4 linked regions of the Elephas maximus indicus genome follow. The protein of the gene in region 2 interacts with the protein of the main gene of each other region in a biochemical or structural test. Links are inferred from orthologs where the notes say so. Each region holds a gene or a part of one and is shown on either strand. Other genes may lie near its edges.

Region 1 (7,656 bases), on a different chromosome or scaffold from region 2:
TTTAAATAAAGTTAAAAAAACAAGCAAAATTAAAAAATGCAATTTGCTGAGGGCAACAAAGTGTCAAAACCCCTCAATTTAAAAAATTCAAGTGACAGTGGCCCTCCTTGAAATAACCAGGTGGGCTTCCTCCTTCGCCCCTGAGTTTTGCTGTCTATCCGGGTGACCAGGTAGGCACCATGTTTTCTCCCACCTCAGGAAAAACAGGTTCTGTGTGCGATGCCTGGTGAGGCCCGGAGAGTGTTTTGTATTGTCACATCCCTGTATTGACACTAGGAAAATCAGCTGCCCGCCTGCCACCCGGCCTGCACCCTAGCCACCACGCCTGCCCTCTCTCCCGCCTACCTCTGAGCCAACCAGGAACCTGGGTCCCTGCACTGGTTTGCTGACAGTCTGTGCTGCTCCCAGGGCCCAGCCCTGGAGGACAAAGGGAGGCCGAGGAAGCGGGTGCACATGGCCACTGCAGACCCCACTGTCAGCTTCCTGGAGGCTGCCGCCAACAAAACCCAAGAGCTTCCTCATCGCTGCTCGGAATTGTTCTGAGATCCACTAAGTCCGAGGCAGGGGAAGCAAGAAGCCATTAATTGTCCACAAACTTAATGCTAAAAACAGGATACTTTCCAGGGACAGGGAAAAATGCTGCTGGCTGCTTCAGCTTCAAAGCTCACTGATGGATCAAACTCTCCCAGTTACCACCCTTCGCTTGTTTCAAGAGAGACGACCAGAAGTGAAAAAAAGAGCTGCTAACAGCTCGGTGAATCCAGATGTCATTTATCTGTTATTGTACCTGGTTGTTGTTGTTGGCTGCCTGCAATTCACCGTGACCCCGTGCACAACAGAACGAAGCACTGCCTGGTCCCACGCCATCCCCAAGGTCAATTGCAGGTCAGTCCTTTGTGAGCCCGAGGGTTTTCACTGGCTAATTTTCGGAAGAGATCACCAGGCCTTTCTTCCTAGTCTGTCTTATTAGTCTAGAAGCTCCACTGAACCCTGTTTAGCATTCTAGCAACACACATGCCTTCACGACAGAAGAGTGGTGGCTGTACACAAGGCTTACTAGCCAGGAATCGAACCTGGGTCTCCTGCATGGAAGGCAAGAACTCTACCGCTAGACCACCAACACGCCCTGTTACTATTCCTGCTAGCTACCTAAAACTCGCCAGTCTCCCCAGATACTTTAAACATTTTTTAAAAATAGCAAAAATAAAGAAAAATTGTAAAACCTAACACAGGCAAGGTGTGAAGAAACCACAACTATACAAGTCCATGACCTAAAAGTTCAGAAGATAGTTTTCAATTCTCACATCCTCAGTGAGAAGGAGAGAAGAGTGGGCAATTGATGAGACGTGGGAGGAGCAGGGAGCAGTAACAGCCAGGCAGCTCACACCTGCCCCAGCGCCAGTGAAATCCAGGCCCAGCAGAAGGCTCCCGTGGCTGCCTTTCCCTGGAGGGCCTAGGGAGAGGGGGCCCACCAGTGTCTCAGATCCACTGTACCTCACTCTTCACCAAGAGATTAAACTGTGCCACTCCTGAGAATTTATTCCAAGAGCAGGCCAAAGTGCTCAAGAAACTCAACGTAAATGGAGAAAGGGTGAATGGTGACCCTAGAGGAATCACTGACAGCCACCAACACGTGGGCGGGTGTTCCTTTAGAATATGGTATTACCATCATCCCCGGTTTACAGAATGAGAAAACTGAGGCTCAGGGAGGTGCAGCAGCCTGTCCAAGGCCACACAGCTGGAAAGTGGAGAGTGCAGGCAGGCTTGGCCTGACTTCCAGGAAAGAGTTCTGGGCTCTGAGCTAGAGCAATCGTAAGGCGTTCTGGGATTCCCCTCTGGGTTTCTCCATCTGTAAAATGAGGCTTCCTGTCCTTGCAGGCGGCCAGCACCGCCGTTAGGAGCTTCCTGCCCTACCAGACCTAGCGCCGGGCTCAACTGCCCCTTACTAATGCGAGAACGATGAGGCTAACAGTGTTCCCTCCTAGGGGAACTGGAGCGAGGATTACCAGAGAAAGCCACATGCACGGGCCCCGGCCACAGCAGGTGCTCAGAAAATGTTCCAACGCCAGCAACAACAAAAACAACACCTCCCTCCTGGGGTGGATCATTCCAGCGAATATCAAAGTAGCAATTAATGGTTTACACAGCCGATTCGCAAGCAGGAGTCCAAAGCCAGACTGCGAAAGTGCAACAAGTCCCCAGCCGGCCAGGGCTTGTTGTGGCCGCGCATAGCAGGCAGCGGGGACCCCCTCCCGGGCCACTGGACGGAACGTGCCGCTTCGGCCATTCAAATGCTAAGCGCGCGAGAGCCCGTGGCTCTGTGTTGACAAAACAAGGCCAGGCCCCCACGCCGGGTTCGCGCCCCAGCTCCGCCCGCGGAAGCACCTGTGCTGGGGGCGTGGGCAGGTGCGGGCGGTGGCCGCCCCGGCTCCGGTGGCAGCCCCTGTTCCGGGCTTTCCCGTGTGCCATAATCAAGCCTGGCTCGTCGCCTCTGCAGGTCTGCGGCGGCTCGGGGTGCCTCGGGTCCCGGCGGGGACAGGTGTCCGACGCCATCTTCCCTTTTTTAGTAGACACCGGGTCTCTGCCGGCACGGCCCTGGGCTGGGATCCGACTCCGTGCCCTTGGCCCCTCCTCCCCCCCGCCAAGGCACCCCGAAATCAGAGCCCGGCCTAGGGAGGCCGCGCAGCCAGGTGGTGCGTTAGCGACCGGGCGCAGGGGCGTCACCCCACTGCTCAGATGCGGAAACTGAGGCCTGCAGGGTGGCGCAGTCGGATGACAGTACCCAGAGTCCCAAGCCAGAGAGGGGGCGCTGCGAATCCGGGGTCCCGAGACGTCGCCCCGCAGACACACCCGACACTTCTCAGGTCGGAAAAGCCTGGGCCACGGCCCCCATCGGCCACCCGCCGGACTCTGGCCGGGCGCAGGGGCGGATGCCAGCGGGGCACCGGGCACGGCCGGGGCGCCCGGGGCTCAGACTTACCTCGCGGCGGTGGCACCGGAGGCGGCGGCTGCGTCCGGGGCTCGCGAGCCGGGTAGCGTATTGTCTGCGGCTCTGCTGCCGGCGAGGGACCGTACAGGCCCGCCGGGACCCGCCCTCTCCCCGCCCCTCGGGCCCCGCCCCGACCCCAGGGCCTGCCCGGACCCGACCGCCCCCCGCAGCCCTCCACCCGGCCCCGGCCGGCCCGGCGCTCTGGGGCCTCTAGTTCACCCACCCCGCTTCGACCCCCGCCCGCCGGGACCCGAGGCCCCCAGGCCCAGACCCGTCCCGTCCCCGCCCTTCCCCCCGCCCCAGGGAGCGGCCTCCCCTGCCCCATTGCTCAGATGAGAAGACTGAGGCAGGAGTGGCAACAGAGCTGCTACAAGTGTGATCTGTTTACTTGTTTACCTTCTCTGATTCCGCTAATCTGCAAGCTTGTTTTGTCCCTTGCGCTGCTCTTTTCCCTGCGCCCAGCATGAGGCCGTGCACCCAGCAGGCCCAGAGAAATGAATGTTTGTGGAGGCCCCGGTAACTTCATCTGGGTCTGTGTAGATCAATCAAGGCTCGTGCCACGGATCGCCTCGCTTCGTCCTCAAAAAAGTCCTAAGGGATCGGGGCTTTTTCATGTTTATTTTCCCGAACAAGAAACTGAGGCACAGGGAGAATGAAATGACTGGCTTCATGGTAAGTGATTTCAGCGCTCAAAACGTCGTACTTTCTGTGCAGACACCTTCAGGAGTCTGGACTTTTTAAAGCCGTTTCACACAGGTGGAAGCTGAGGCTTGGGCTAGAGCCAGCATCAAGCACCCCGAACCAAAGCCTGGGGGCTTTTCTCCACCCTGCCCGCCTCCCTCCCGCCCCTGTGCAGGCTTCAACCGCAGCCCCCCTCCCGCCCTGAGACTCGCGACAGCGGGAAAATAGGGGGCGATTAGGCACCGGGCGGCCCACGTGGGGGCCGGGATGAGACAGTGCCCACAACCTCGCCAAGGAGGAGAAGTCAAGAAAGGTCCAGGCCGGACTAGCCCTGGGGTGGGGAGGGTGCCGAGCCCCCAGGCCAGGAGCCCTGCAGCGGAGGCTTTGGATGGGTGGAGGGGTGACGGGGTAACAAAGTTACCATTGTCCCGGGAACACAACAACAAGCTTGTTTACCGCACAGGCCAGGCATCCACAGGGTCTCGCCTCCAGCTGGCTTCGCATTTGCTACCTGTAGGGGCCTCATTCTTAGCGCCTTTGAAGTGATGACACTGATAACTCCTCTCTCGGGGTCTTCATCTGTGAAAGGGGCCTGGCGCTGCCCCTGCAGGGCTGTTGGGAGGATCAGAGGAAAATGTTTAGTAAACTGGAGGGGAGTTTAAACGTCAGTGCCCCTCCCTGGATCTCGTTCTTCAGACCCCTTTCCAAGCCAAACCTATAGTGTGTCTGTAATTTTCTGCACCTTTTTGATGTGGTAGTGCTTAAGAACTCAGCTGCTAACCAAAAGGTTGGCAGTCCGAATCTACCAGCTCCGCTCCTTGGGAAACCCAGGGGACAGTTCTGGTCTGTCCTACAGGGTCACTGTGAGTTGGAATTGACTTGATGGCAATGGGTTTGTTTTTGTTTATTTTTGTAAAGAGGAGCCCTGGTGGTGCAGTGGTTAAGAGCTGGGCTCCTAACCAAAAGGTCAGCAGCTGAAATCCACCAGCTGCTCCTTCGGAACCCTATGGAGCATGAGTCTGAATCCACTCAATGACAAACTTTTTTTGCTTTGTTTTTTGTAAGGAGGGTCTTCCAAATTACATAAAACTCCAGGCCCGCAAAGCCTGGACGGCCTCAACCCCTTGACTGGACCATAACCACAGGGCACCTGAGAGGCAGGAACAAGGAGCCCTACAAAATAGTAACCTCTCTCTACACCCATTTTGCAGATGAAAAAATTGAGACTGAGAGAGGGAAAGCAGCGATTCGGGGTCTCCTGGGCCAAGAAGCCTCAATGTATGTGAGAATACTTCCAGAGAGATCAGAGGCTTGGTACCACGCACACAGTTGGTGCTCAGCAAACATGCTGAGAGCGTTGGTCTAGAGGAGCTGCCTTGGGGGGCCTCTGGATCCTGCCAGCCCCAGCCGAGCCCCCCTGCTGTGGCCCCAACAACATCTGTCTGTTGTTCAGCGACCCCTGCCCAGTGGACCCTCTGACGCCCACTACAGGTTGGGTTTTGTCCTTGCTATGACTTCATCTGTCCATTTCATTGCACAAATATTGATTGACCTCTACTATGGTGCCAGACACGGGGGTTGGTGATGGGACTCGTGAGATGGCATATGCGAGTGGCGGACAGGAAGATGGGGCGCCTGCAGCCAGGGGAGCAAGGCCTGGCACAAGCAAGGCCTCCATGAAGGAGAGTGAAGCGCGGTAGGGGGTGGAGGGGAGCAAAGGAGGGGGTGGGGTAGAATGGACAAAGAGGGCTGGACAAGCACTTGTTGGCCAAGTGCTGGTCTCACACTCCAGGGCCCCACCTAGGGGGCAGAAGCCAGTGCAGGTTTTAAATGGCTCTGTTTTTGCCATCCCAGCCTTGGGTTGACACCTTATCTGGAAATCCCCCTGCTCCCCGGCTTTGGGGAGGCTTTGTGGAGGCTTTGTAACATCAGGAAGGCGGGACTCATGAAAGGGCTTTGCTGTTCTCACCTAAGCAGGGCCTGAGCCTCATGATAGCATTTCACCTGCGTCAGCCTGGTGGACACCTCCTGGGGACACCTTTGTGGGGTGAGCTGCTATTGAGAGCCCAGTGTTTTGGGCATGTTACCTGGGTGATTTCTTGTGCCCTTCATGGCCCTTGCAGGGTACGAATGATTCTCTCCATTGCACAGATAAGGAAACTGAGGCTCAGAGAGGGGCCTAACCTGTCCAAGGCCACACAACCAAGAGGTGAAGTGCTGCGGTTCGAACCCAGGGTGTTCTGTTCCTGGGGGACAGGGACTTGGGGGCCTGTAACTGGGCTTCCAGAAGTCTGTGAATTCCAAAAGTAAAGTGAAATTGCGGTTGTCATATAAGCCTTTTCTGGGGAGAGAATCTGTAGCCTGATGGGTGAGGGCCAGAACTCTGCAGTCACTTGGCACCTGTAATTCCAACTCTGCCACCTAGAACGTCTGTGACCTTGGGCAAGTGCCTGGGCCTCTCTGAGCCTCAGTTTCCTCATCTGTAAAATGGGGATAATGATTTTCCACTCCCAGGGCTGTTCTAAGGATTAAAGCAGAGCATGGGGCCTGGCACACAGTAGGTGCTCAGTAAATGCAGAGCAATGCTCAGTAAATGTTACTGTAGAACTGGTGAAGAGTTATCATGTCCACAAAAGAAACTATACCTTAGAGACATGTGGTCTGTTAAATGAAATAACGCATTTCACAAATCAGTGTGTCTGGTGGAAACGTGTATTTTTTAAGTCCACATATAAAAACTCGGGAAGGAAATACAGCTCCACAGAACAGGAGGACTGTTACTCTCTGGGTACAACGATTACAGGGGGGTTAATTTTCCGCCTTGTGTTTTTCTGTATTTTCCGGATTTTCTATATAAACGTGTATTTACTTAGTAATCAGAAAACATCTTTTTTGGGGGGGTGGGGTGGGGAGTGTCTTGTCTCAGGGCTGAGCTGAGCCAGAGACAATGGCAAAAGCTTAGTTTCAAGTCAGACAAAGCCAAGACATAATACAGAGCAGGATCGAGACTGAAAGTGACCAAGACCTCAGGAGACAGAAAACTAAAATCTGGCTCCGGAGACGGTGCAAACATATCAGGAAAGGCTTCCTGGAGGAAGAGGAACTTGAGGGGACCTTGGAGAAGGGGCTGGGTTTTCACCAAATGGTATAGGGAAGAAGGGCATTTCAGGTTGGGGAAACAGCAGGAGCAAAGAAAGCGTTGGGTGAATTTGGGAAGCTGCGAGCATTTCTGGAGCCCTTTTTTTTTTTTTTTAGTGGTGCACTGGTTAAGAGCTCAGCTGCTAACCAAAGTCAGCAGTTCGAATCCACTACCTGTTCCTTGGAAACCCTGTGGGGCAGTTCTACTCTGACCTACACGGTTGTTATGAGTCGGAATCAACTTGACAGCGACTGGGTTTGGTTTTTGGTTTGGAGCATTTCTGCTGGTAAGAGGAAGAGAGGAGTAAGAGATCAGATGGAAAGGTGGATTTGACTAGATTGTCCTAGGGGCACTGGGGAGCCATGGAAGGCCTCTGAGCAGGAGAGAGGGACTGGATCCCAGCAGTCTTCAGTAAGAGGAATCCGGTAGCCATATGGAGGCGGACTGGAGAGGAAACAATGCCCTTAGTCTCTGACACTGCCCAGGGCTCCTGAAAGGGGCATCCCAATAGCTGCTCATCCAGCTGCCCCTCTGCAGCTGGCCAGGGCAGCTCCTTCACTTTGTGCCCTGCACATCTGGCCAGCAGCTGATGTCCACAGTTAGTGAGGCCCTTTGTGGACAGGGATGTTACGCACAGAGCGGCTGGGAACTTTATTACATCCCATCTTACACGTGAGGACGTGGAAACTCAGGGAGGTGTGGATATTGGGCAGAGAGGTGTGGGGCCTTCTTCCCAGTGCGTCAGCTTGAGTGTGGCCTTAATACATGAGAGTCTCAGTTTCCCCTTCTTTCTGAGAAACGGGGATAGCAAAGCCCTATCCGAGAGTTTGTTGTGAGAATGGCATTA
Region 2 (8,114 bases):
AACAACAGGCTCAAACGTAGCAACGATTGTGAGGATGGTGCAGGGTTTCTTTCTGTTGTACCTAGGGTCACTGTGAGTCGAAACCAACTTGACAGCACCTAACAGCAACATCAACAATCTTTACAGGAGCAGAATATCACAGGAGGAGCTGCTGGGTGAGTTTGAACTGCCAATCTTTCCGTTAGCAGCCTACCACCTAAGCATTTCGCCACCAGGATTAAAAACTGTAAAACTTTATTGAATAACTTTTAAAAAATCATTGAATTGGGTTATAAACCTTGTTTAGAAGCCCTGTTGGTAAAGCAGTTAAGTGCTTGGCTGCTAACCTAAAGGTCAGTGGTTTGAACCCACCAGCTGCTCTGCAGGAGAAAGGTTTGGCACTCTGTCTCTGTTAAGATTTACACTTTTGGAAAACCTATGGGGTCATTCTCTGTATACTATAGGGTCACTGTGATTCAGAATCAACTTGATGGCAATGGGATTGGTTTTTGGCATAAATCCTTGTTAATGGATGGGAAAATATTATTGTAAAGATGTTAAAAGTTCAGGGAAATCCCAATGAAAATCCCAAGAGATTTTGTCATGGAACTTGGCGAGTTGATTCTAAAATTCATATGGAAGAGGAAAGGCACAAGAAGTGGCATCTGAATTTTTAAGAATATTTTTTTTAAGTTTATTAATAATAAAGAGGGGAAAGTGTCATAGGAAAGTGTCATAACAAATCTAATAAGTACTAACTCTATAAAATTACACTATTTTTAAAGTATGGTTAATTGACATCACAAGGATGCAGTCAGCAAAATCCAGATGGGATTTCAATTTGTAGTCAAGTGCTTAACCGTCTGGGAGGATTACAGAGACCTTAGCACGATGTATTCTATCTTTCCAAAATATAAATCTCTTCATGTCCTTTCCTTGTTTAAAAAAACCTGGCTGCTACTTAGTGACCTGTACATGTGGCCACACATTTACCTTCAATCTCCTCTACCACTGTTCCCCTCTCAAGCATCCCAGTTTATTCCTAGGACACATTGCGGGCTTTTGTGTCCAACTGTTGTGACTTCTGCCTGAAATGCTCTTAATGTCCTTTCTCTCTCAGACAAAATTCTACTCTCGTTTCAGGGATCGCTCAACAGAGCCTGCACCTCGGGGCACAGTTGATCCCACCCTCTGCTGGGCTCCCATAAAACCAAAACCAAACCCAGTGCCATCGAGTCAATTCCGACTCATAGCGACTCCCGTAGCACACTTAAAACCAGCTGCTGTCTAGTTGATTCCAACTCCTGGCGACCCTATGTGTCTCAGAGTAGAACTCTGCTCCATAAGGTTTTCAATGGCTGATTTTTTTCAGAAGTAGATCACCAGGCCTTTCTTGCAAGGCGCCTCTGGGAAGACTCAAACCACCAACTGGTCGCTTAGCAGCCAAGCTCATTAACTCTTGGCACCACCCAGAATGGTACTCGTAACATAGAAATTGTTGTGACGCCACGGATTTTAAAAATGTAAATGAGATCATGTCCTGCCCCAGCTTAAAAGCCTCCCATGGAACAGAATAGAAAGCTCAGAAATTGACCCAAATACACATTGGAATGTAATTTATGATAATGGAAACATTTCAAATGAATGGGAAAAGATGGGACCATACATGGTGTTGACAACTAACTGGGTAGTTATTTGGGGGAAAAATTCTGGATCCTTACTCACACTTTATGCCAAAGTGAATTTACAGTGGAAAAAAAATTTTAATGTAAAATATGAAGCCATGTAAAACTACAACATGTAGAATTCTTTCTATAAAATTGAACTGGAGAAGGCCTTTCTAAGTATAACACAGAACCCAGAAGCCCCAAAGAAAAAGATTGATAAAACATATAGAAGCTAAAAGTTTTTTCATGGTAATAAGTAATAAAACCAGAAAAATATTTGCAACTCATACATATGGGGGAAAAGGGATAAAAACCCCTATAAATCAATGAGGGAAAAGTTCAACAGCAAGACCCACTGAAAAGGGGGCAAATGATATGAACAGAGAATTTACCAACACAAGTCCAAAAAAATCGCTCGAAAATATGAAAAATTGCTCAACTTCACTTATAATAAAGGGACTGAAAAATAAAAGTACCTCTCAATTTTTACCTATCCAATTTGCAAGGATCAAAAGGTTTGGTATCACACTGTGTAGGCCAGGGTGTGAGGAAATAGGCAGTATGATACTTGACTGATGGAAGAGTAACCTGGTACAACTGCTGTATAGAACAGTTTGCCAATAGCCATTAAAAGCAAGAAAAAAATACATTTACTCATTTACCTGGTAATTCACTTCCAAGAATTTACCTTGCAGACAAACTCCCACATATGCAGAATAATGAATGGACCAGTGACAGCATTATTCGTAATAGCAAAAGATTGGAATCTACCTGTTGTTCTTAGCTGCTGTCGAGTCTTTTCCGACTCACAGCGACCCTACGTGCGACAGAACGAAACCCTGCACTATCCTCACGATCATTGCTATGTTTGAGCTCATTGTTGCAGCCACTGTGTCAGTCCATCTTGTTGAGGGTCTTCCTCTCTTTTGCTGATCCTCTACTAAGCATGATATCCTTCTCCAGGGTCTGGTTCCTCCTGGTAACATGTCCAAAGTAAGTCTCTCCATCCTCACTTCCAAGAAACATTCCGACTGTACTTCTTCCAAGACAGATTTGTTCATTCTTCTGGCAGTCCATGGTATAGTCAGTATTCTTTGCCAACACCAAAATTCAAAGGCATCAACTCTTTTTCGGGCTTCCTTGTTCATTGTCCAGCTTTTGCAAGCATATGAGGCGATTGAAAATACCATGGCTTGGGTCAGGTGCACTTTAGTCCTCAAAGTGATATCTTTGCTTTTTTGACACTTTAAAGAGGTCTTTTGCAGCAGATTTGCCCAATGCAATATGTCATTTGATTTCTTGACTGCTGCTTCCATGGGTGTTGATTGTGAATCCAAGTAAAATGAAATCCTTGACAACTTCAATCTTTTCTGTTTATCATGATGTTACTTATTTTTGTGTTTTGTGTTTATGTTGAGGAATAATCCAAACCCTGGTGGCCTAGTGGTTAGGTGCTACGGCTGCTAACCAAAAGGTCATTAGTTCGAATCCACTAGGTGCTCCTTGGAAACTCCATAGGTCAGTTCTACTGTCCTATAGGGTTGCTATGAGTCAGAATCAACTTGACAGTAATGGGCTTCTTTTTTTTTTTTCAGTTATAATCCATAGTGAAGACTGTAGTCTTTGATCTTCATCAGTAAGTGCTTCATGTCCTCCTGCCAAGCATGATGTCCTCCTCCAGGGACTAGTCCCTCCTGGTAACATGTCCAAAGTACGTGAGACCAAGTCTCACCATCCTCGTTTTTAAGGAGCGTTCTAGTTATACTTCTTCCAAGACAGATTTGTTCATTCTTCTGGCAGCCTGCGGAGTCTATCTAAATGTTCCTAAATAGGAGCTTGAGCAAATAAATTATAGCATGTCTTTATAAAGTTGTGCATTAATTTAAAAACTTGAGGCAGTTTCAAAATGTAGAGCTCAGTGAAAAAAAACAAGGTGTATAAGTGTGTGTAGCATGCTACTGTTTGTGTAAAACATTTATACATATAAATAAGCTCCTGAATATAGCAACCATCTTTGAAAGGCTACATGGGAAAAGGTGATAGCCTCTGTGAGGGGAACCAGGGACTTGAAAGCAGGGGTGAAAAGAGGACTTGCTTTTCATTCACGTGCTTTTGTACATTTTTAATACTCAGTGTTCCTATATACCTATTTTTAATCAATTAACATACCTTTCCATGCTTAGAATCAATTCCAACTCATTTCCGTGATTAACTTTAATCTCCTCTCACACTATACCCTTCTCTCACTACTCTCCAGCCATACTGCTTCACTTTCAGCTTCTGGCATGTGTGGAGATCTTCCTGCCTCGGGACATTTGCACATGCTATCCTTCTGCCTAGGTTGATGTTCTCCAGCCTCTTCGGATAGGCTGGCACTTTCTTATCCTCCTAGTCTTGGGTTCAACGTCTTCTCTTCAAAGAGGCAATCCCTAGCTACCCTACATAAATAATTGTGAATAAATGCCTCTCCCCTGACCACCCTGTCTAAAACAGCACCTCTTCTCTTCCTTGGCCCTCTTTATGACAATACCCCGAATTTATTTTCTTCCTAGTACCAATCACTATTTGAAATTATCTTGTTTGTGTATTTTCTTAGTTGCTTACTGTCTTTCTCCATCTCTATGGTTTAAAAAAAAAATGGTTTAAGCCTCCAGGAAAACGGGCTGTATCTGTCTTGTTCCTAACTCTATCTTCAGCAACCCAAACAGTATTTGTTGAATAAACTTACACAGCACATACTATGGTATACACACTGTTCTCCGGACTTTACAAATAATAATTCTCTTAATCCTCACAATAACCCTACGTAGAAAGTCGGTACTATTACCCAATTCACAGGTGAGGGAACTGAGGAACAGAGCAGCTGAGTAACTTGTCCAAGTGGCAAAGTCGGAACCCCAGAGATAAGTTTCTCAGCCACATCCATTGCCGGCTAGTCGTTTCCAATTCATAGCGACCCTATAGGACACAGTAGAACAGCCCCAGCCCCATACGGTTTCCAAGACTGTAAATCTTTAGGAAGCTGACTGTCACGTCTTTGTCCTGCGGAGCCGCAGAGCGGCTGGTGGGTTCCAACTGCCAATACTTCGGTTAACAGCAGATTGCTTAACCACTGCGCCATCAGGGCTTCTGTTTTCAGCCACAATGTGACGCTTTCTCGACATACAAATTAACAGGTTGATGAAAGAGACGGAATGAATAAATGAATGTGTGAATGTAAATGTTGATTTAAGGCTTCGAATTCCCCAGATGTTCCGTAAGAGGGCGCTCTCTCCCACGCCTTGACGCCAGTCATTTAAAGCGCGCACTCCCTTTGCGTCTCGGGCTCGCGCGCGCTGCCGCAGCACCGGAAGTGACTGAGCTTGCAAGTTCCCCCGGTCTCTTCAGGGGAAACTGAGGCCGGCTTGTTGGGAAGAGACGGCAAGAGCAGTCAGCCAGGTAGGCGGGCCCTGGTCCGCGGCACGGAAGTCAGTCGCGAAGAGCTCCCGTGTCTGGAAACTACCAGGCCCATGAAGGGGGATGTGGCCCCCCACGCCTCGCGGGTCTCGCAGGTGAGAGCACCGCCTCCCCTGCGCGTGACAGGCGCTGCGCCCAATGGGAGCCCTCGCCGTCCCGCGCCCGTGCCTATTGGGCTCGCTGATTGGCTACGGTAGGGCGGCCGCCAGGGGCGAGACCCCTCCTCCCAGAAAGGTCTAGGGGGAGCCCCTGAGGAAAGAAGGTTGCCTAGCAACAGGGCGGTGGCCTGGCGGGTACCCGGCCTAGCTTGTTGGAGAAGCCGCGAGGCCGCAGCCCACCCACTCCGGGCTTCGGAGGTGCAGCCCCCCCGGCCCCTCAGCCCTCCCGGGGGCGGCAGGAAACCGCCGTGGGCCTGTCCCCAGGAAAACGTGGTCTCGGCTGTGGGGGGCCTCGAACGGCCCTCGACCCCACTTTCCGACCCGAGAAGCCGGGCGCCTCACCGTCACCCGGTCTTTGTGCACGGCGCCGGCGGCCATTGTGTCCGGGCGGGGAATGGAGGACCGGGCAATCCCCTACTACCACCGCCACGTCCAGGGCCATTGGGGAATTCAAAGAAAACCAGCAGCGTTTGTGGGGGGCCCCCGGCCTTCAGCCTCCCGGAAAGGGCCGGGGATGGCCTTTCCGAAGCCACATCGCGCATCCGAGGCTGTTTCCTCCTTCCTCCTCCCCTCATCGAAACCTTGAGCCCATTGAGAAGTCCCTGCAGGGTTTCAGAAGCTTCACCCTGAGCTGGTCCTTTAAATAAATAAATAAATAAACGGCACAGCAGCCGCCTCCGGGGGAGTTCTCCTGGCTCCCGGTAGGAGGCGGAGAGCCAAGGGGCGTGCGAGAGCAAGGGGGCTGGGCTCCCGGTGGAAGGAGGCCGCCGCGGCGGAGCGGCCGCCCTCGGTCTGGGCGATGGAGGAGGAAGCGAGCGAGGGAGCCGGTTCCTGAGCGCCGCGGTTCCAGTGTCGCCTTCAGGGCTTCCAGCCTGCCGGCTCGCATGAGCCCTCCGGCTGGAGCTGGTTTTTTTTTTTTTTTTTCTGCCAGCCGCCGCGAGGCCGGCTGAGTTACCGGCATCTCGGCCGCCACCTCCCCTCGCGACCTATGATACAAAAGATCTTCCGGGGGCTGCACCTGCCTGCCGCTGCCTGAAACGGATTTGAATGTAGGTGGTGTGGGGGACTGCCCGTGAGGGTGACTTTCTGAGGAAGGCTTTTCAGAGAATAGGGGGTGGCTAGAGTGAAAGAGGTTGGTGGATGATTCAGAGCCCACTGGGGCTTTCCATTTGACTTTTCGAAGTCTCCTGGAAGCTAGACCCAGACCGTCATAAGAGCCACACAATCAGCTCTGGTACCCGGAGGGGGAATGTGATGTGGGGAGATGGCATACATATTAATTTTTTTTTTCCCCTGAAGCTTTTTCCCTTCAGAACCTTATCTTGGCTTTGGATCTCAGAGGAGAACCACTAACAGAGACAGACTCAGTGAGTGAGCAGGTGTTTTGGACAATGGACTGGTGGAGCCCATCCCTATTATAAAAATGTCTCAGAGCAACCGGGAGCTGGTGGTTGACTTTCTCTCCTACAAGCTTTCCCAGAAAGGATACAGTTGGAGTCAGTTTAGTGATGTGGAGGAGAATAGGACTGGGGCCTCGGAAGGCACTGAATCCGAGATGGAGATCCCCAGTGCCATCAATGGCAACCCATCCCGGCACCTGGCAGACAGCCCTGCGGTGAATGGAGCTACTGGCCACAGCAGCAGCTTGGATGCCCGGGAGGTGATCCCCATGGCAGCAGTGAAGCAAGCTCTGAGGGAGGCAGGCGATGAGTTCGAACTGCGGTACCGGCGGGCATTCAGTGACCTGACATCCCAGCTCCACATCACCCCAGGGACAGCATATCAGAGCTTTGAGCAGGTAGTGAACGAACTCTTCCGGGATGGGGTGAACTGGGGTCGCATTGTGGCCTTTTTCTCCTTCGGTGGGGCACTGTGCGTGGAAAGCGTAGACAAGGAGATGCAGGTATTGGTGAGTCGGATCGCAACTTGGATGGCTACTTACCTGAATGACCACCTAGAGCCTTGGATCCAGGAGAACGGCGGCTGGGTAAGGACCACGCCCCTTGTGTGTCCCATTTCTTTGGCCTCTGGTCAGAGAGATCCTCAATAGCCTTTCCCTTGTATCTCTTTCTCTTGTGCTGGGTGATGGTTGGAGATGTTGCTGGTTCAGGGATGTGACTGGCCTCATTTCACTACAAGGAGTTAACTGTTAGGAAATACAGATGACCTAGTTCTTGAAGGACCTGGCATCTTTCATTCTGGTCATCTTCATGACCCTACTTTTTCATACTTGTGCTTCAGTACCTCAGTGAAGGAAGACATAGCCTATGTGTTCATTCAGGTCAAAACCTATGCAAGTGGGAAGTTAGTCCAGTGTTTCCTCACCCTGACACAATGGTTCACCACCCAAACAGGTAATGAGTATAATGCGTGCAAAAGAGACTGAGCATCAGTGGTCCACAAACCCCTCCATCTTTTCTCCCCCAAGGGTGTCAACCATCCCCAAAACAAGTTCCCTTTATTTTGGAGTTTCCTTGTGTGGTACTTTCCTCTCAGGATAGGGCATGGCCAGGCAAAACTTTCCACCACCGTGTTGGATGGCTGAAGATTGTCTTATTTTAGGGCAGTGTAGGCTGTGCCAGCCTTTGTTTGCACCACACCCCTAAGTGTGCAACTTTCTGCGTGAGTGGTATGTTTGTGGAGCTCTTGCTGTGTCATGCATTAAGCCTGGGGACTTTGCACCTCACTGCCTGGGGTCGGTTGGAGAGCTCCAGCTGCTCTGCCTGTTGCTTTCCGGCCAGGGTTCTGGGGCCTCTTCACCAAGCACTCATGGCAAAGCAAGAACCCAGTCTGTGGGATTCTCTAGAGCATTGCAATTTGGTGACAGACTTTGGAAACAAACTAACACAGGTGT
Region 3 (7,572 bases), on a different chromosome or scaffold from region 2:
ACACGTGTGTTTTCTTCATGAGGCTTTATCTAACACGTGTGTTTTCTTCACGAGGCTTTATCTAACACGTGTGTTTTCTTCACGAGACACATCACAGCCTTCCTGTGCTTAGGAACACTCAACAGCACTTCAGCACAACGCCTGGGGGCCATTTTTAAAAACAAAATTTTATTGTGCTTTAAGTTTACAAATCAAGTTGGACTCCCACACAAAAACTTATAAATGCCTTGCTATATACTCCTAATTGCTCTCCCCCTAATGGGATAGCACTCACCTTCCCTCCACTCTCTCTTTTCATGTCCATTCGGCCAGCTTCTGACCCCCTCTGCCCTCTCATCTCCGCTCCAGACAGGAGCTGCCAACATAAGTCTCATGTGTCTACTTGATCCAAGAAGCTCATTCTTCATCAGTATCACTTTCTATCCCATTGTCCAGTCCAATCCCTGTCTGAAGAGTTGGCTGTGGGAATGGTCCCCGTCTTGGGCTGACAGAAGGTCTGGGGACCACGATCACTGGGGTCCTTCTAGTCTCAGTCAGACCATTAAGTCTTTTTACAAGAATTTGGGGTCTGCATCCCACTGCTCTCCTGCTCCTGCAGGGATTCTCTGTCGTGTTCCCTGTCAGGGCAGTCATCGGTTGTAGCCAGGCACCATCTATTTCTTCTGTGCTCAGGCTGATGGAGTCTCTGGTTTACATGGTCCTTTCTGTCTCTTGGGCTCATAATTACCTTCTGTCTCTGGTGTTCTTCATTCTCCTTTACTCCTGGTGGGTTGAAACCAATTGATGCATCTTAGATGGCCACTTGCTAGCATTTAAGACCCCAGATGCCACTCTCCAAAGTGGGAGGCAGAATGTTTTCTTAATAGATTTTATTATGCCAATTGACTGAGATGCCCTGGGGGCCATTTTAAACAGCAAAATTACTAATTTATTTATATACCACTGCTTTTCAAGGTGCATCGGCTTAAAATGTATTTTTTTAATGCTTTACAAAATGAACAGGGAAGGTAATTAGGTAAGATGAGCCAAAAAAATAGAAAACAAGCTGAAGCTTTAGTGAATACACAGAACTGCAAACCAGAGAGCAGCTGTCCTAGCCCCCTCCTCTCCCACACCTTCCTTGGGTTGGGGCTACAGGAACAGAAGGTGGGCTGTGGGCTGCGTGCAGTTCAGGGAGCTGGCTCTGACTACATCCCCATCCTCCCGTTCAAAAGAGCATTTTAGAGCCCAAGTGAGCGCAGCAGCCATTATTATTGGAAAAGCCATGAATTAGCTTTAATTCACTTTTAAAATAAATCAGAATCCTGCTTTTTAACACTTTAAAGACGTCTTTTGCATCAGATTTGCCCAATGCAATGCACTGTTCGATTTCTTGACTGCTACTTCCCTGGGTGTTGATTATGGATTCGACTAAAATGAAATCCTTGACAACTTCAGTGTTCTCTCCGTTTATCATGATGTTGCTTATTGGTCCAGTTGTGAGGATTTTTGTTTTATGTTGAGGTGTAATCCATACTGAAGGCTTTGGTCTTTGATCTTCATCAGTAAGTGCTTCAAATCCTCTTCACTTTCAGCAAGCAAGGCTGTATCATCTGCATATCACAGGTTGTTAATAAGTCTTCCTCCAATCCTGATGCCATATTCTTCATATAGTCCAGCTTCTCAGATTATTTGCTCAGCATGCAGATTGAATAGGTATGGTGAAAGGATACAACCCTGATGCACACCATTCCTGACTTTAAACCACGTGGTATCTCCTTGTTCAGTTCCAACGATTGCCTCTTGGTCTATGTACAGGTTCCTCGTGAGCACAATTAAGTGTTCTGAAATTCCCATTCTTCACAATGTTATCCATAATTTGTTATGCTCCACACAGTCGAATGCCTTTGCATAGTCAATAAAACCCAGGTAAACATCCTTCTGGTATTCTCTGCTTTCAGCCAGGATCCATCTGACATCAGCAACGATATCCCTGTTTCCAGGTCCTCTTTTGAATCCACTTTGAATTTCTGACAGTTCCCCGTCGATATACTGCTGCAGCTGCTTTTGAATGATCTTCAGCAAAATTTTACTTGTGCGTTATATTAATGATATTGTTCAATAATTTCCACATGCAATTGGATGACCTTTCTTTAGAATAGGCATAAATATGGATCTCTTCCAGTTGACTGACTAGGTAGCCTTCTTCCAAATTTCCTGGCATAGACGAGTGAGCACTTCCAGGGCTGCATCTGTTTGTTGAAACACCTCAGTTTGTATTCTGTCAGTTCCTGGAGCCTTGTTTTTCGCCAATGCCTTCAGTGCAACTTGGACTTCTTCCTTCAGTACCATCGGTTCCTGATCATATACTACCTCCTGAAATGGCTGAATGTCGACCGATTCTTTTTGGTACAGTGACTCTGTATTCCTTCCATCTTCTTCTGATGCTTCCTGCATTGTTTAATATTTTCCCTGTAGAATCCTTCAATATTGCAACTTGAGGCTTGAAGTTTTTCTTCAGTTCTTTCAGCCTAAGAAATACTAAGTGTGTTCCTCCCTTTTGGTTTTCCATCTCCAGGTCTTTGCCATGTCATTATATTTTACTTTGTCTTCTCGAGCCGCCCTTTAAAATCTTCTGCTCAGCTCTTTTACTTCATCATTTCTTCTATTTGCTTATCTACTCAACATTCAAAAACAAGTTTCAGAGTCTCTTCTGACAACCATTTGGGTCTTTTCTTTCTTTCCAGTCTTTTTAATGACCTCTTGCTTTCTTCATGTATGATGTCCTTGATATCATTCCACAATTTGGTCTTTGGTTATTAGAGTTCAATGTGTCAAATCTATTCTTGAGATGGTCTCTAAATTCGGGTGGGATATGCTCAACGTCACACTTACCCAAATAATAGATTAGCTTTTAAAATTAACACTATCACCTTTGAGTAATGTGCTCCCTTAAACAATTAACCGTATGAGACCAAACAGTGAAGAGTTACCCAAAAGCAAAGGTGAGAAGCCCAGAGGGGCAAGGAAGCTAGATCAATGGAAACAGAACAGAATAGAAATGAGAATGCTGATGCATTGTAAAAATTATAACCAAGGACACAGAATAACCCGTACGAAAATTGTTAAAAACCCTAAAAAACCAAACCCCAGTGCCGTCGAGTCGATTCCTACTCATAGCGACTCTATAGGTCAGAGTAGAACTGCCCCATAGAGTTTCCGAGGAGCACCTGGCAGATTCGAACTGCTGACCCTTTGGTTAGCAGCTGTAGCACTTAACCACTATGCCAGGGCACCTAATTTGCTGTGTAAACTTTCACCTTAAACACAATATTATTAAAAAAAAAAAAAAAACAGTAAAACCAGTTACTGTGGACTTGACTCCAACTCATGGTGACCCAACGTGTCAGAGCGCAACTGTGCTCCACGGGGTCTTAAGCGGCTGGTTTTTGGAAGTGGATCGCCAATCCTTTCTTCCGAGGCTGTATGGGTGGACTCACACCTCCAACCTTTCCATCAGCATCCAACGCTGACCCTGAAGCTAACCGGGTCTCCCCCATAACGGAGGACCCCGCGCCCGACCGGGTCTCCCCCATAACGGAGGACACAGCCGACACCCAGGCGTGGACGTCCTCGGGGCACGTGCCCTCCGCCACGTCAGTGCCGGGAAAGGAGGGGAAGGGGTGCCGGCCACGTGGACCCAGTCCCTGCGGCGCTGGTCCTACATGACTCTACTTTTCTGAGTGCTTGGAGGTTTTCAAAACTAAAATTAGAAAAGGATGAATTCTCTTCAAACTGCGATAATTTAAACACGGAAATAAAACCCGTATTCAAGGTGTTAAAAAAAAAAAAAAAGCTGGAACGCCTGGCCTCTCCAGCGCTTCCGAGTCCCGCCCCCTGACCTCTCCCCCGGCCTATCCTGCGCCTCGAGGTGCACAAGTCCCGCCCCCTCCCGCCCTCGGCCTGTCCCTCGCCACGCCGTGAATCAGTCCAGTCGCCGACCTGGCCCAGGCCTATCCCGCGCTGCGTTTGCTCAAGTCCCGCCCCCGACGCATTCTACCCGCCCCTTGACCTGGCCCCCGGCCTCTCCCGCGCCGCGCCGCGCACTAGTCCCGCCTCCCGACCTCACTACGGCCTATCCCGCCCCGCAGCTAACTAGCCCCGACCCTGGACCTCGCCCCGGCCTTTCCCGCGTCGCCGCTTCCCGCCCACCGCCGGACGAGTCCCGCCCCCTGCCCTTGCTCCGGCCTATCCTACCCCGCGCCGCGCCACTGCGTGCCCGAGCCCCGCCCCCGCCCCGGCCGGGGATTGGCGCGCGGCTGTGACATCAAGGGTCAGCGACGAGGCGCGCGCCGGCCGAGCAGCGACCCCCGGCCGCGGCCATGCCCAAGCGGGGCTGCCCCTTCGGGGACGTCGCCCCGCTGCAGCTCAAGGTCCGCGTGGGCCCGAAGGAGCTGAGCCGCGGCGTGTGCGGCGAGCGCCACTCCCGGGAGGTCTTCGGTGAGCTGGGGCGAAGGGCCGGGCTGGGCGGCCGCGGCGCGGGAGGCCCCCGGAGGCCCAGGACCCGGAGCCCGCGGGCGAGTGCTGCCCCGGGGCCGCCGGTCTCCGGGCGTGGGGTCCGTGAGCACCGGCAGGGGAACGGGCCGCTCTCGTCGTAGCAGCCGGCCACCCGCGCAGCGAGCGGGGCCTCCTGCTTGCGGCTCTGGGCGGTGCGGAGGGGCCGACGGGCTGAGCGGCAGGAGCGTCTCTCCTACCCGGGCGGTGTTCGTGGGTCGCCGCCCCCGCCAGCGGCCCGGCGGGCGCGCACGCGGGAGGACTGTCCGGAGGGACCAGAGCGGGCCCGCCAGCTGAGGACCTCGGTGACGCTGGAGAGGGGCTCCTGGGGTGCAGAGGGAGCCGGGTCCGGCAGGGCGAGCAGGAGAGAGCCTGGCAGAGACGGAGAGGTCAGGGCAGAGAGAAGGGCAGAGGCCGGGCAGAGGAGAGCCGAACAGTGTCTGGTAGCCACGGCTCCCCCTGGCCGCACCATCCCAGTCAGGGTGGGTCGTAGGGACGGTCAGCGCTCAGGATTTGGGGCGTGCTCCGTGCTGATCATCGCTTCCCACTCGCGGTGATTGATACCATGGGGCAGGTACAAAGTGGAACTTACCCTTTTGGCTGGGGCACGGGGTGTTTGTAATTGAGGGGCCGCGTGTGTTTCAGGGATCTGGGAGGGCGCCTGGCCTTAGGAGAGGCCCCCCTCCTTGAGGCTCCAGCAGCTGGTTCTCTTCTCTTGCTGGTCCTTCCGCAGCACCAGCAGCTGCTCTGCCTTTTCTCCCCTTGTACACTAGGTTGCAAAGTCAAATGGGTTCTAAGGCTCTGAGCCGCTAGACAACCACATGTACGTGCCTTAGATATAAAGATGTTCAAACACTTCAGACTGCAGGCAGAGACAGGATTCCAGAGAATCGAGGCTTGTCAGGGACTTGTCCCTGGGCGCTTATAACTAAGTACAAGACGAAGGTTTGAGCTCACATGTACCCAGCTCTGAGCCTGAGCCTTCACCCCAACCTCTTTGCCACAAGCCCCTGAAGACAGGATTGGCCTCACCCCGAGACTCTTTCCCACCGTGGCAGTTTATTTTATAAACGGTGGGCACTGGGTGGCTGGGTTGTCATCGCCACTGCACTTGAGCTACTCCCATTCCCTCTGGTCCATCAGCTCCTCGGTAACCGGGCCCCCGCCCGGCTGTTAGGGCAGGGTGAGAAACCAGAGCCGCACTGGGTCTGCGACTGCTCCCCTGGGGACTCTGTGGCCATGTAGGGAGGTAGGTTCTAGGTCCCACAAAGGGCAGAAGGGGGTGGGCAGCTTTTGTTGGGACCCATTGTTGGGGTGCCTGGGCCCCACTCTACTGCAGGTGCAGGGCGGCTGGCTGGGGGTTGGCCCAGGCCAGAGTCTGAGGGCTGCTTATTGGTGGGGAACTTGTTCTCATGGCCTGTTCTCCGCAGCGGGGGTGCTCTGTGCCAGATGCTGAGCTGTTTGAGCAAGGAGGGGGCAGGGGCACACAGCCGTAGGTGAGGCCCCCATAGGTGAGGCCAGCTGGGAGACCCTGTGCCGAGAGCCGCTGTGGGAAACGAGCAGTGATGGGAGGGTGCGGGTGCAGCGTCTGGAGCCTTCCTGCAGGAGATGGCGGCCAAGGCCAGGCACCGAAGGGAGGGGAGGACCCAGCTCACCAAAGCATGGCGGAGGCCAGGGTTACAGATGACACAGGGCACAAAGGGCCTCACCCTGCCTACTGGAGGGACCCTTGTGGGGCTCAAAGGACAGTGTGGCTGTTGCGGGCTTTGTAGACCGATGGTGTCAGCATGGAAATTTCGTGTCTTCTGCAGAAAGGACCAGGCAGCTCCTGTTCCGTGGAGCCCAGGCCTACATGGACCATGTGTGGGATGAAGGTTCGCCAGAGAGCTGCACCCTTGTCCACCTGCCTGAGTCCCCGAAGCCCAGCCCCACAGGTGTCCCAGGGGTCACCAGTGGGCAGATGCTGATCGGACCGGGTGGCCGCCTGCTGAGGAGCCATGTCCAGGCCTCAGGGGCCGGTGAGTGCAGCCACGGCAGGACAGAGCTCTTCTCCAGCCATGATGCTGTGTCCAGGGCTCTCCACCAGCGTCTCTCCTGCCCAGATGAGCAAGGATCTTGCAGGTTGGGCGGTGCTGGGGATACTTGTTACCATAAGTTCTCAGTAGATCCCCAGATTTGGAAGTTGTCACACAGTTTCTAACTGTCGGGCCAGAAGGAGCAGAGACACCCCTGAGCGCCCCTCCGCTGTCCACTCTGGCTCTCCCTGGCTCCGTCATCCCAGAGGTAGAGAACACTGATTGTGGGCCACGTAAACTTTGTCCTGCTCTGTACAGCTGGCTGGGACCTCGGGTGTGGTTCTTACTTGTGAGATGCCATGCTTATTAGCTCCAGGAGTGTCAATGGGGGGTCCAGTGGAGATGTGAGGGTAGGCTTGGAGTGGATGCCCCACAGGACACAGCTTCAGGTGGTCACACCATGTGTCTCTGACCATGGGAGGTGATGCAGCATGAAAGGCTCCCACGGAGAGTCCATGGCCAGTTGTGGGTGGAGGTGGTGCCATCCTCATGGCCGACGAGTTATGGTATTTTTTCCTTGCAGACCCATTGGAGGCAGTGTCCAGGGCCTGCTCCTCGTGCGTTCGCAGTGTGGACGGAAAGGCGGTCTGCAGCCAGTGTGAGCGCCCCCTGTGTGGTCGGTGTCTGCGCACCTGCTGGGGCTGCGGCACCGTGGCCTGTGCCCTGTGCTCTGCCGTTGAGTAAGTGCTTCACCTCCGTGTCCCCACAGCTCGTCCTCAGGAGCACATCGTGCAGGGAGGATGGGGGCAGGACCCCAGCTGGGCCCTGGGCACCACAGTGTGGCCTCTGCCATTGGCATTGCCTGGCGGGCCCAGGGATGGTGTCAGCTTCAGTTATCTACCCAACTTCATCTGTTTATTTTTTTCTGAAAACTTTGTGATCCCTCCTAAGGGAAATTGCAGACTCTCTGGCTGCAGTTCCTCTTGCAGCTCGTGTTGGGTTGTTGCAGACTTCTCTGAGGACC
Region 4 (7,574 bases), on a different chromosome or scaffold from region 2:
GAAAGAAGGGCAGGACAGTTTGCCTCCTTGGGGCCCGAGTAGAACCGGTGAGAAACAATACCAAGCAGACAGGCAGGAGGTAAGAGTCAAGGAATGAACTGCCCCTGCTGCTCAAATTGGGGAAGGAAATAATAGCAAAGGGCAGGTTTGGGGAGGGAAAGTCCCCTCTCTCCCCCCAACTTCTATGGGAGGAGTTCTGAGGCTAAGAGCACTCACCATAAAAGAGTCGCTGGGGTTCCTCGGTCACCCCACAAGGCAGCATGACACCCTGGCTTGGGGAGGCTGGGCTGAGGGTCTGAGTTGCCTTGTCCTCCTGGCTGGTGTGTCGAAGCCCAGGGCCACAGCAGTGGGTGAGAGGGAAGAGCTGAAGCCGGCTGAGGGGGCAGTCCAGCTGGCTCTGGGCAAACAGGTCAGCAGAGAGCAAGCCCCCGGGCTGGGTCCCAGGCTCCCCCTCCTCTGGTTGGAATACATCATCCTCCAGCTCCTCCACACACTGAGATGGCTCCATCTCCCCTGTCAGTGAGCAATGCAGGCATCTGGGATGCTGCCCCACCCAGGCCATACCTGAAAGGACTCCTCTCCTCTCCCCTCCCTTCCTTCTTCCCTGCTCCCCCCTTCTTTGAGGGAGCTGGGCCAGGGTCTGATGACACACCATCCTGGCAGTAAAGCAGCACCAAGGGTGACACCCACCCCCAAAGTGTGGACTGCTTCAAGTTCAGGGACTCTCCACACCCCTTCCCTGGGCCACCTTCCCCTCGGCCTCTTCTTCTGACCCAGGCCAGTCAAGAAGCTGGACTCAGAGGGTTGTGAGCCATGGCAGGGGTAGATCAGCTGCTATGGGCACATAGGGTAAACTGGGGAAATGTAAACAGGGCTAGTCTCTGAGCCGCTGGGGTGGGGAGGGCAGAAGGGTGCTACAACCTTTCTGACTGGCTGTACACACAGTGCGCACAACACACACACACACACACACACACACACACAATCACTGTCCTAAGGTAACCACCGAGCTTTCAGCTCAGTCTGAGCGGAGCTCCAGGCGCAGGAGCAATAACAAAAGCCTGCAATCCTTCTGCAGCCAGGTTCCCTCCAAACCTGCTAAGCCCCGCCCTGCTGGCCATCAACTCTCCACCCTCCTCCACCCTCCACTTACTCAACACAACAAACCGGCTCAGTGGTGTGGTAAAAAGCATGTCTTGGGAGAGGGAAGGGAAAAAGGCCCACCAAGTTAGTCACTGCAGCTCTCAGGAGGGCAGCAGAGCTGTCTGTCCACCACTGGCTGGCCAAGAGAGCAGGTCCAGTATCTGGGAAAGTGTCCAGCCAGCTCAGACTACGCACTAGCCTCCCGGACTGCAAATCCCTGTCCCCACAGCCTACCATTCTTGGCAGCGCTGAACCTGAGATTGGTACAACCTGCCTCACAGAAGGAAGTGAAATTCGGCCCTCTCTTTGTGACCTCACTAGCTGCCTGTACTATTCAAGTTGTTGATATGAGTTTCTCGGTGATAAAGAAGTTCCTCTTGCTCCACCTGATGGCTCTTGGAAGTCTGCACTTGGAGCCACCCAGCATCTTCTGCTCCCAGCCCAGCCCCGGTACACACACACACACACACCCCAGGAACCCCTTTGCCCCTGGGGCCAGGAGCATCAACCACCTCTGTGGTTAAAGATATGGACAGACAGTTTGTCACTGTCAGACTCAATTAGAGATCTCTGGGGATTCTGTCCCCCAGTCTCTTGCCTTTGAAGAACAAGTCAAATGGTTTGCGGGTTGGTGAAGTACTTGAAGGAATCTCAGTGTAATTCAGAAATCCTTGTTCACCCAAATACACACTCTCTCTTGGGTGCTTGCCTCAACTCTCCCTCCCTGAGCTACCTATGGTCCTGTCTCCACCCTCCTCCCTGGAGAATGAGATGCCTGCCAGGATGGCAAAGCAGGCACTATCTTAGGATAGTGTTTCCCAAAGGGGAGGGCACTCCAGCTTATCAGCACCAGGAAACAAAGTTTTCCGTTGAATGGACCAAGAGCTGTCCTGCCAGTCACCTGGCAGGGGCTTCCCTCCTGCCCTTCAACCCAGAGTGATGGCTACAACCTAAGAGGGGGCCCTCCAAGGGGCAATCACAAGCAGGAGTCATTGTCTGGTTTTGCCTTTGAAGCCTGTCACCTACCTCTCGCCCAGGCAAAGCCCCAAAGTTAGACCCTTGCCTGGGCTGGAGAGTGGGGGAGGTGCAGCCAGAAGGTGTGGCTCTGTAAACCCCAGGGACCTCTTCCACTCCCCAGGTACTGCAGGTGGATCTCCTGTGGTAGAAGGTCCCGAGGCATGCTGGGCAAATTCAAGTTTAAGCCAGAATAGCGCTTAGAAGAGACCTTCTGCCTCTTCCCCTGAGCTGAAGAAGCCATGTCCTGACCGGTGTGAGGGGGACACTTCCTGACACCACCACGAGGGATCACAGCCTCTAAGGGCTCTAACAGGGATGCTGAACTTAGGCTCCTCCCAGGAGAGAGCAGTGACTAGACACTGGTCCTTGACTGTGGCTAAAGTCTGGGAACACACACACACACACACCTGGGTGACTCCAGGAAAGAGTGTCAGTCTCCGGGTCGTGACGCCAGGGCTCCGCGCCAGGGTCCAGCGTGACGAGCACTCGGGGGCTTGGCGCCCAGATTCGATTGGGAAGGAGGGAAAAAGCTCAGCTGTTAAGGAGAGGAGGCTTCAGGCTCCGCAGGACGCCCACAACTTCCCGCTCTACCCCAAAGTCAGACCCAGAGGATGGGCCGTTCTTGGGCGCCCAGGTCCGCTCAGCAGTGCACCCCCTCCTGCCCACCAAGACCCAACTCCTCCGAATCCCAAACGCTACCCTCAAGTTCCCTCTTGCGGCAGCGCACCCAGATGTGGGCTGTGCACCCCGTTCCCGTACCCCAGCGTCCCAGTACTTCATGGTCACCCCAAACGCCCGCAGCCCAATTCTTCCCGGGCCCCCACGCGCAGCGCGACTTTGCTCCCCACTTGCCCGAGGAGGTGCGATCCAACTCCGCCCAGCCCCCGGCCGCCCGGGCGCTCACCGGGCAGCGGCGGCAGGCGCGGCGAACGGACGGCGGCGGCAGCAAGCGCTGGCGGGCGCTGGTGGACGAGACTCAACACCGTGCGGTATTGTTTCCAAAATACCCCCGCTCGGGGCATCCTGCAAACAGCTGATGAGGCTCCGCCCCCTGGGGCGTCACGCCGAGGGCTGGCCAATGGCGAGTGAATCCCCAAGTCCCGGGCTGGGCGGCTGCCAGGGACGGTCACGAATGTGCGAACTTTCCCTTGGAAACATTGCAAGGGGCCGAGCAAAATTCCGACCTCCGCCAGAAGCGCAGTTAGAGCGCCGTCCTCCAAACAGATTCAGTTCTAAGGCGGGCTCAGAAGCAGCAGAAGAACCAGAGAGCCCTGCACGTATTGCCCATTGCCTTCGAGTCCATTCTGACTCCTAGCGAACATACAGGACAGAGTAGAACTGCCCCACAGGGTTTCCAAGAAGCGCCTGGTGGATTCTAACTGCCCACCTTTTGGTTGTCAGCCATAGCTCTTAACCATTACGCTGGGGCACCAAAGTGACTTTCGTCCAGGGCTTTGAACCGGTTTGAACCGGTTCGGCAATGGACAAGGAAGCCTAAGCGGAACAGACCCGAATATTTACAATGTGGGAGGTCCAGAAAAGGAAAAATTAGAGTGGAAGCCCTGGAATGGGAGACTCAGAAGAGGTGTAGGGATCTATTTAAGGAGCCTGATGGTGAGATTGAATTATGGCAGGACTGTGGAGGGCGACACCTTCAAAGCAGCACAGTCAGCCCCCAAATTTGATTGGGGCACAGCTCTTCCCGACTCTGCTCAAAATCTGGAGAGAGATGGTTGCTATGCAATGCATACTGCTGCCCTTGTTTTCTAAGAGGGTGATTAGGTTTCTAACAAGGCTTCCCCGCCTCCCTTTCCCACCCCACCCCCCACCCAGTTCACCCAAATTTTAAAAATTCAGGTTTGCTCTGAATTCTCTTCCGTGGCCAGGACTGAACTGGAAAGAACCGGTTTAAAACCGTGCTTTCAACTTTTCTTTCTGGGGAATGGGCTGGGAAATTGTCATGTCCAGAAACCAAGGTAGGAGGGGGCAGGAAGCTTTTAGACTCGACAACGTTGATCTGTGGGTGCAAGGTGGATCCCCGTCTGGTGGCAAAGCGTCCTTCCACCTGTGGGGTGATTCAGGGCAAAACTCTAGCTCCAAATCTGTGCAAAGCTGTTACTGAGCACCATTTAGATCAAACACATCCAAAGGGGCTCTTATGTTCTCTTATTGACTCGGCTTGGACAGTTGCAAAGTAAGCATCTGGCATGAGGAGACCTGGTATCAAGAATGCAGGGGTTGCTAGACAGGCATCCTGTCTATGGTGCGCTGGGAGGACAACATGACCTGCAATGGGCTACTTCACAAACCTTTACTGAGTGCTTACTGTGTGCCAGGTACTAGGGATAGGTGCCAAAAACCTGGTGCCTGCCCTCATGGAGTTTACAGTCCACTTGGGGTAGATCTGAAGATAATGGAAAGCAGCCCAAAGTGTGTTCATTCCAGGGATAATGACTACTGGAGCATGCAGAAAAATTCAGAAATGCAGACTTAGGAGATGCCTCTTCAGGGAGATGGCTTTTGAGCAGGGCCTTGAAGGATGGAGAAAATTTTTATAAGTAAAAACCAGTTGCTGACAAGTTGATTCTGACTCATAGTGACCCCATTATCAGAGTAGAACTGTGCTCCATAGGGTTTTTCGGTGGCTGATTTTTCAGAAGTAGATCACCAGGCCTTTCTTCCAAAGTGCCCCTGGGTGGACTTGAACCTCCAAACTTTTGGTTAGCAGCTGAACACATTAACTGCACCATCCAGGGTCTCCTCAATAAAGAAAGCTAGATTAAACAGCCCAGGCCTAGGGACAGCAGAATAAGGTGCTGAATTGGAGACCGTGTCCCGGGGAGCAGGGTAGGCTCAGTCACTGGATTGTAGGGTGCACAGTGGGATTTAGGAGGGGTGGGCATGAGCATGTAGGCTCAGGTCAGATTACAGAAGTGCCTCTGGAATGCCAAGCTGAGGAATCTGTACTTTATTCTGGAGGCAAAGAGGAACCAGCAAAGATTTTATAGACCTTGAATGACTTCCTCAAGCCTGAATTTTGGGACAGATAAATGAAGAGTCCAGAAATCAGTGAGAGTGAGCCAGTCCTGAAATAGACTGGGTGAACAGCGATGGGGTCTCGACCATCTAGGGGTGGTGGGGATTGATGGTGCATTGACCACCAATTTGCTTGCTCTCTCTGGGTTGTAGACTGTCATGGATTGAATTATGTCCCCCCAAAAATATGTGTATCAATTTGGCTGGGCCATGATTCTTGGTATTGAATGATTTTCCTATATGTTGTAAAGCCTGCCTCTATGATGTTAATGAAGGAGGATGGGCTGCAGTTGTGTTAGTGAGGCAGGACTCAATCTACAAGATTGGATTGTGTCTTGAGGCAATCTCTTGAGATATAAAAGAGAGAAGCTAGCAGAGAGACAGAGGGACCTCATACTATCAAGAAAGCAGCACCAGGAGCAGAGCGCCTCCTTTGGACCCAGGGTCCTTCCGTGGAGAAGCTCCCAGTCTTGAGGAAGATTGATGAGAAGGCTGACAGAGAGAGAAAGCTTTCCCCCGGAGCTAATGCCCTGAATTTGGACTTCTAACCTACTAGACTGTGAGAAAATAAATTTCTCTTCGTTAAAGCCATCCACTTGTGGTATTTCTGTTATAGCAGCACTAGATGACTAAGACATAGACTCAGACAGACTTGAGTTCAGTGGGTCTGGGACCCTCAGCCCAGTGGAGCCTAGAGTCTCCTTTTTCCTACCCATTCTTTACCTAACTCCCTCAGAGGGCACTTGAAAGTGAGTGAAGCAAGCAGACTGGGGGCTGTGCTTGCTGGAGTAGGAAAATCCTGTCCCCAAAGGACAGAGAATAGGGAAAAGGGAAAGAGGGAGGGCCAGTTTTGGCCGGCAGCCTGGTACCCCCAGGGGTTGTTAGATGTCCAGCTAGAGGTGGTTGGAGCCAAAGGGAGGTATATTATTTTACCAGGAGGTTTGGCCAAGGGGGAGTGTCAGAGCTGGTCAGGGTGACCTTGAACTCATGCCACATATGGTAGGGAGATGAGGAGACCGAGCCCAACCTCCTTGCAGGAGTTTGGAGAGCCCTCCATCACTTGCCAAGCACACAAGTCCCGCCCCTCCTTCCTTCTGTCTTTTCTTCTTATTGGCTTTCCTCCTGGGCCATTGTCTCAAGCGACCAGTAGAGCCCATGGCATTACTAAGAGTCAAGAGTAGAAGTGAAGGACAAAGAATATCTGAATCTGCCTTCTAGGGCAACACAGGCCCTGCTGGGGGGATTGTCATAACTCTCCGCTTTAGCAAAACCTAGCAAGGTGGAATTGGGTCTACGAGGCAAGGAAGCCGATAAACCAAGAAAACTAAACCTGTTACCATTAAGTCAATTCTGACTCATAAAGACCCTATAGGGCAGAGTGGACCTGCCCATAGGGTTTCTAAAGAGTGGTTGGTGGATTTGAAGTGCCAACCTTTTGGTTAGCAGTCAAGCTCTTAACCACTGTACCACCAGGGCTCCAAGGAAGCTGATAGAGGAGGGTTTTTACCTGGGATGCATGTATTCACCACACTCACCAGGATCATCTGCTTTAGGGTCTATGAACCCCTGAAACTGGGCTCAACTGTTTTTTCATGAGTGCACGCAAACATTTTTCTGTGTGTAAGTGTGTATATGTGTGTTTGTGTGTGTGTGTGTGTGTAGGGGATGGCTTCATAACTTACAACAGATTCCCAAAGGGGTCTGTAACCCTATAAAAGATTAAGAATCATCATTGTAGGGGGATGAGAGCCCGACGAGGCTAGAGAGCAGCAGAGGTCATCTTAGTGGGTCTGGGAAGCTTGCAAGATAGAGGAGAGCTACACCCTCTGGTGACATCTTTTGTAAGGCTTCCTTTCCCAGGGCTTCCCATCTTGTGCCCTCAGGCTGGTTCTGAAGGACACCCCGTGGTGGCTTGGCCTCCTGTGCTCTCAATCTCTAAGGTCAAGCAGCAGGCCCGGCCTCCTGAGCTGGAAGAACCAGAGAAGATTGCCAGGGATAAAGGGGTCAGAGAGGTCAGGAACCTCACTCCCCAGCTTTCATCACCATCAAAGCAGACCCCTCCCTCAGTGCCCCTTTTCCACTTCCAGCACAGGGCAGACTCAGCAGTTCGAGGACCTGCTGGGTTAGAGAGCTGGGCTCTGGACCCTCTCACTAACAGCAGCAGACGACCCCTAGGCGTTTGACTGGGCTCAGAGCAAATGCACATTGCAGCAATAGCAATCATTATGCTGGAGAATTTCCTTTCTCTCTCTCTTCCCACCCCTTGCCCCAATTTGTCTTCTCTGCTGCTGACTGATGCTACCTCTGGAAGGAGGCTCCCCAGGGAAAGGCAAAGTTGTTCTGAAAGGCATCGGTGTGGAGGCGGACCTTCCCCAGCA

The links.
Region 1: the proteins of BCL2L1 (region 2) and BIK interact in a test that uses a peptide from one of them, tested with the Homo sapiens proteins (3 studies listed by BioGRID and IntAct, with this or other methods). The link is inferred for Elephas maximus indicus from reciprocal best matches to the Homo sapiens genes BCL2L1 and BIK.
Region 3: the proteins of BCL2L1 (region 2) and SIVA1 form a complex in vitro, tested with the Homo sapiens proteins (2 studies listed by BioGRID and IntAct). The link is inferred for Elephas maximus indicus from reciprocal best matches to the Homo sapiens genes BCL2L1 and SIVA1.
Region 4: the proteins of BCL2L1 (region 2) and BMF interact in a test that uses a peptide from one of them, tested with the Homo sapiens proteins (2 studies listed by BioGRID). The link is inferred for Elephas maximus indicus from reciprocal best matches to the Homo sapiens genes BCL2L1 and BMF.

Annotation. Positions count from the first base shown.
Region 1 is NC_064822.1:187,371,763-187,379,418, reverse strand, and holds the start of BIK (bcl-2-interacting killer), read right to left. Parts: upstream 3,042-7,656; 5' UTR 2,981-3,041; intron 1-2,980.
Region 2 is NC_064843.1:37,711,061-37,719,174, forward strand, and holds the start of BCL2L1 (bcl-2-like protein 1), read left to right. Parts: upstream 1-4,989; 5' UTR 4,990-5,197; intron 5,198-5,263; exon of another isoform or gene 5,264-6,309; intron 6,310-6,559; 5' UTR 6,560-6,683; coding exon 6,684-7,247; intron 7,248-8,114. UniProt on the Homo sapiens protein: Potent inhibitor of cell death. Inhibits activation of caspases. Appears to regulate cell death by blocking the voltage-dependent anion channel (VDAC) by binding to it and preventing the release of the caspase activator, CYC1, from the mitochondrial membrane.
Region 3 is NC_064828.1:119,050,256-119,057,827, forward strand, and holds the start of SIVA1 (apoptosis regulatory protein Siva), read left to right. Parts: upstream 1-4,287; 5' UTR 4,288-4,361; coding exon 4,362-4,479; intron 4,480-6,344; coding exon 6,345-6,551; intron 6,552-7,131; coding exon 7,132-7,288; intron 7,289-7,572. UniProt on the Homo sapiens protein: Induces CD27-mediated apoptosis. Inhibits BCL2L1 isoform Bcl-x(L) anti-apoptotic activity. Inhibits activation of NF-kappa-B and promotes T-cell receptor-mediated apoptosis.
Region 4 is NC_064828.1:15,924,987-15,932,560, reverse strand, and holds the start of BMF (bcl-2-modifying factor), read right to left. Parts: upstream 3,178-7,574; 5' UTR 3,065-3,177; exon of another isoform or gene 2,696-3,064; 5' UTR 2,568-2,695; intron 514-2,567; 5' UTR 509-513; coding exon 217-508; intron 1-216. UniProt on the Homo sapiens protein: May play a role in apoptosis. Isoform 1 seems to be the main initiator.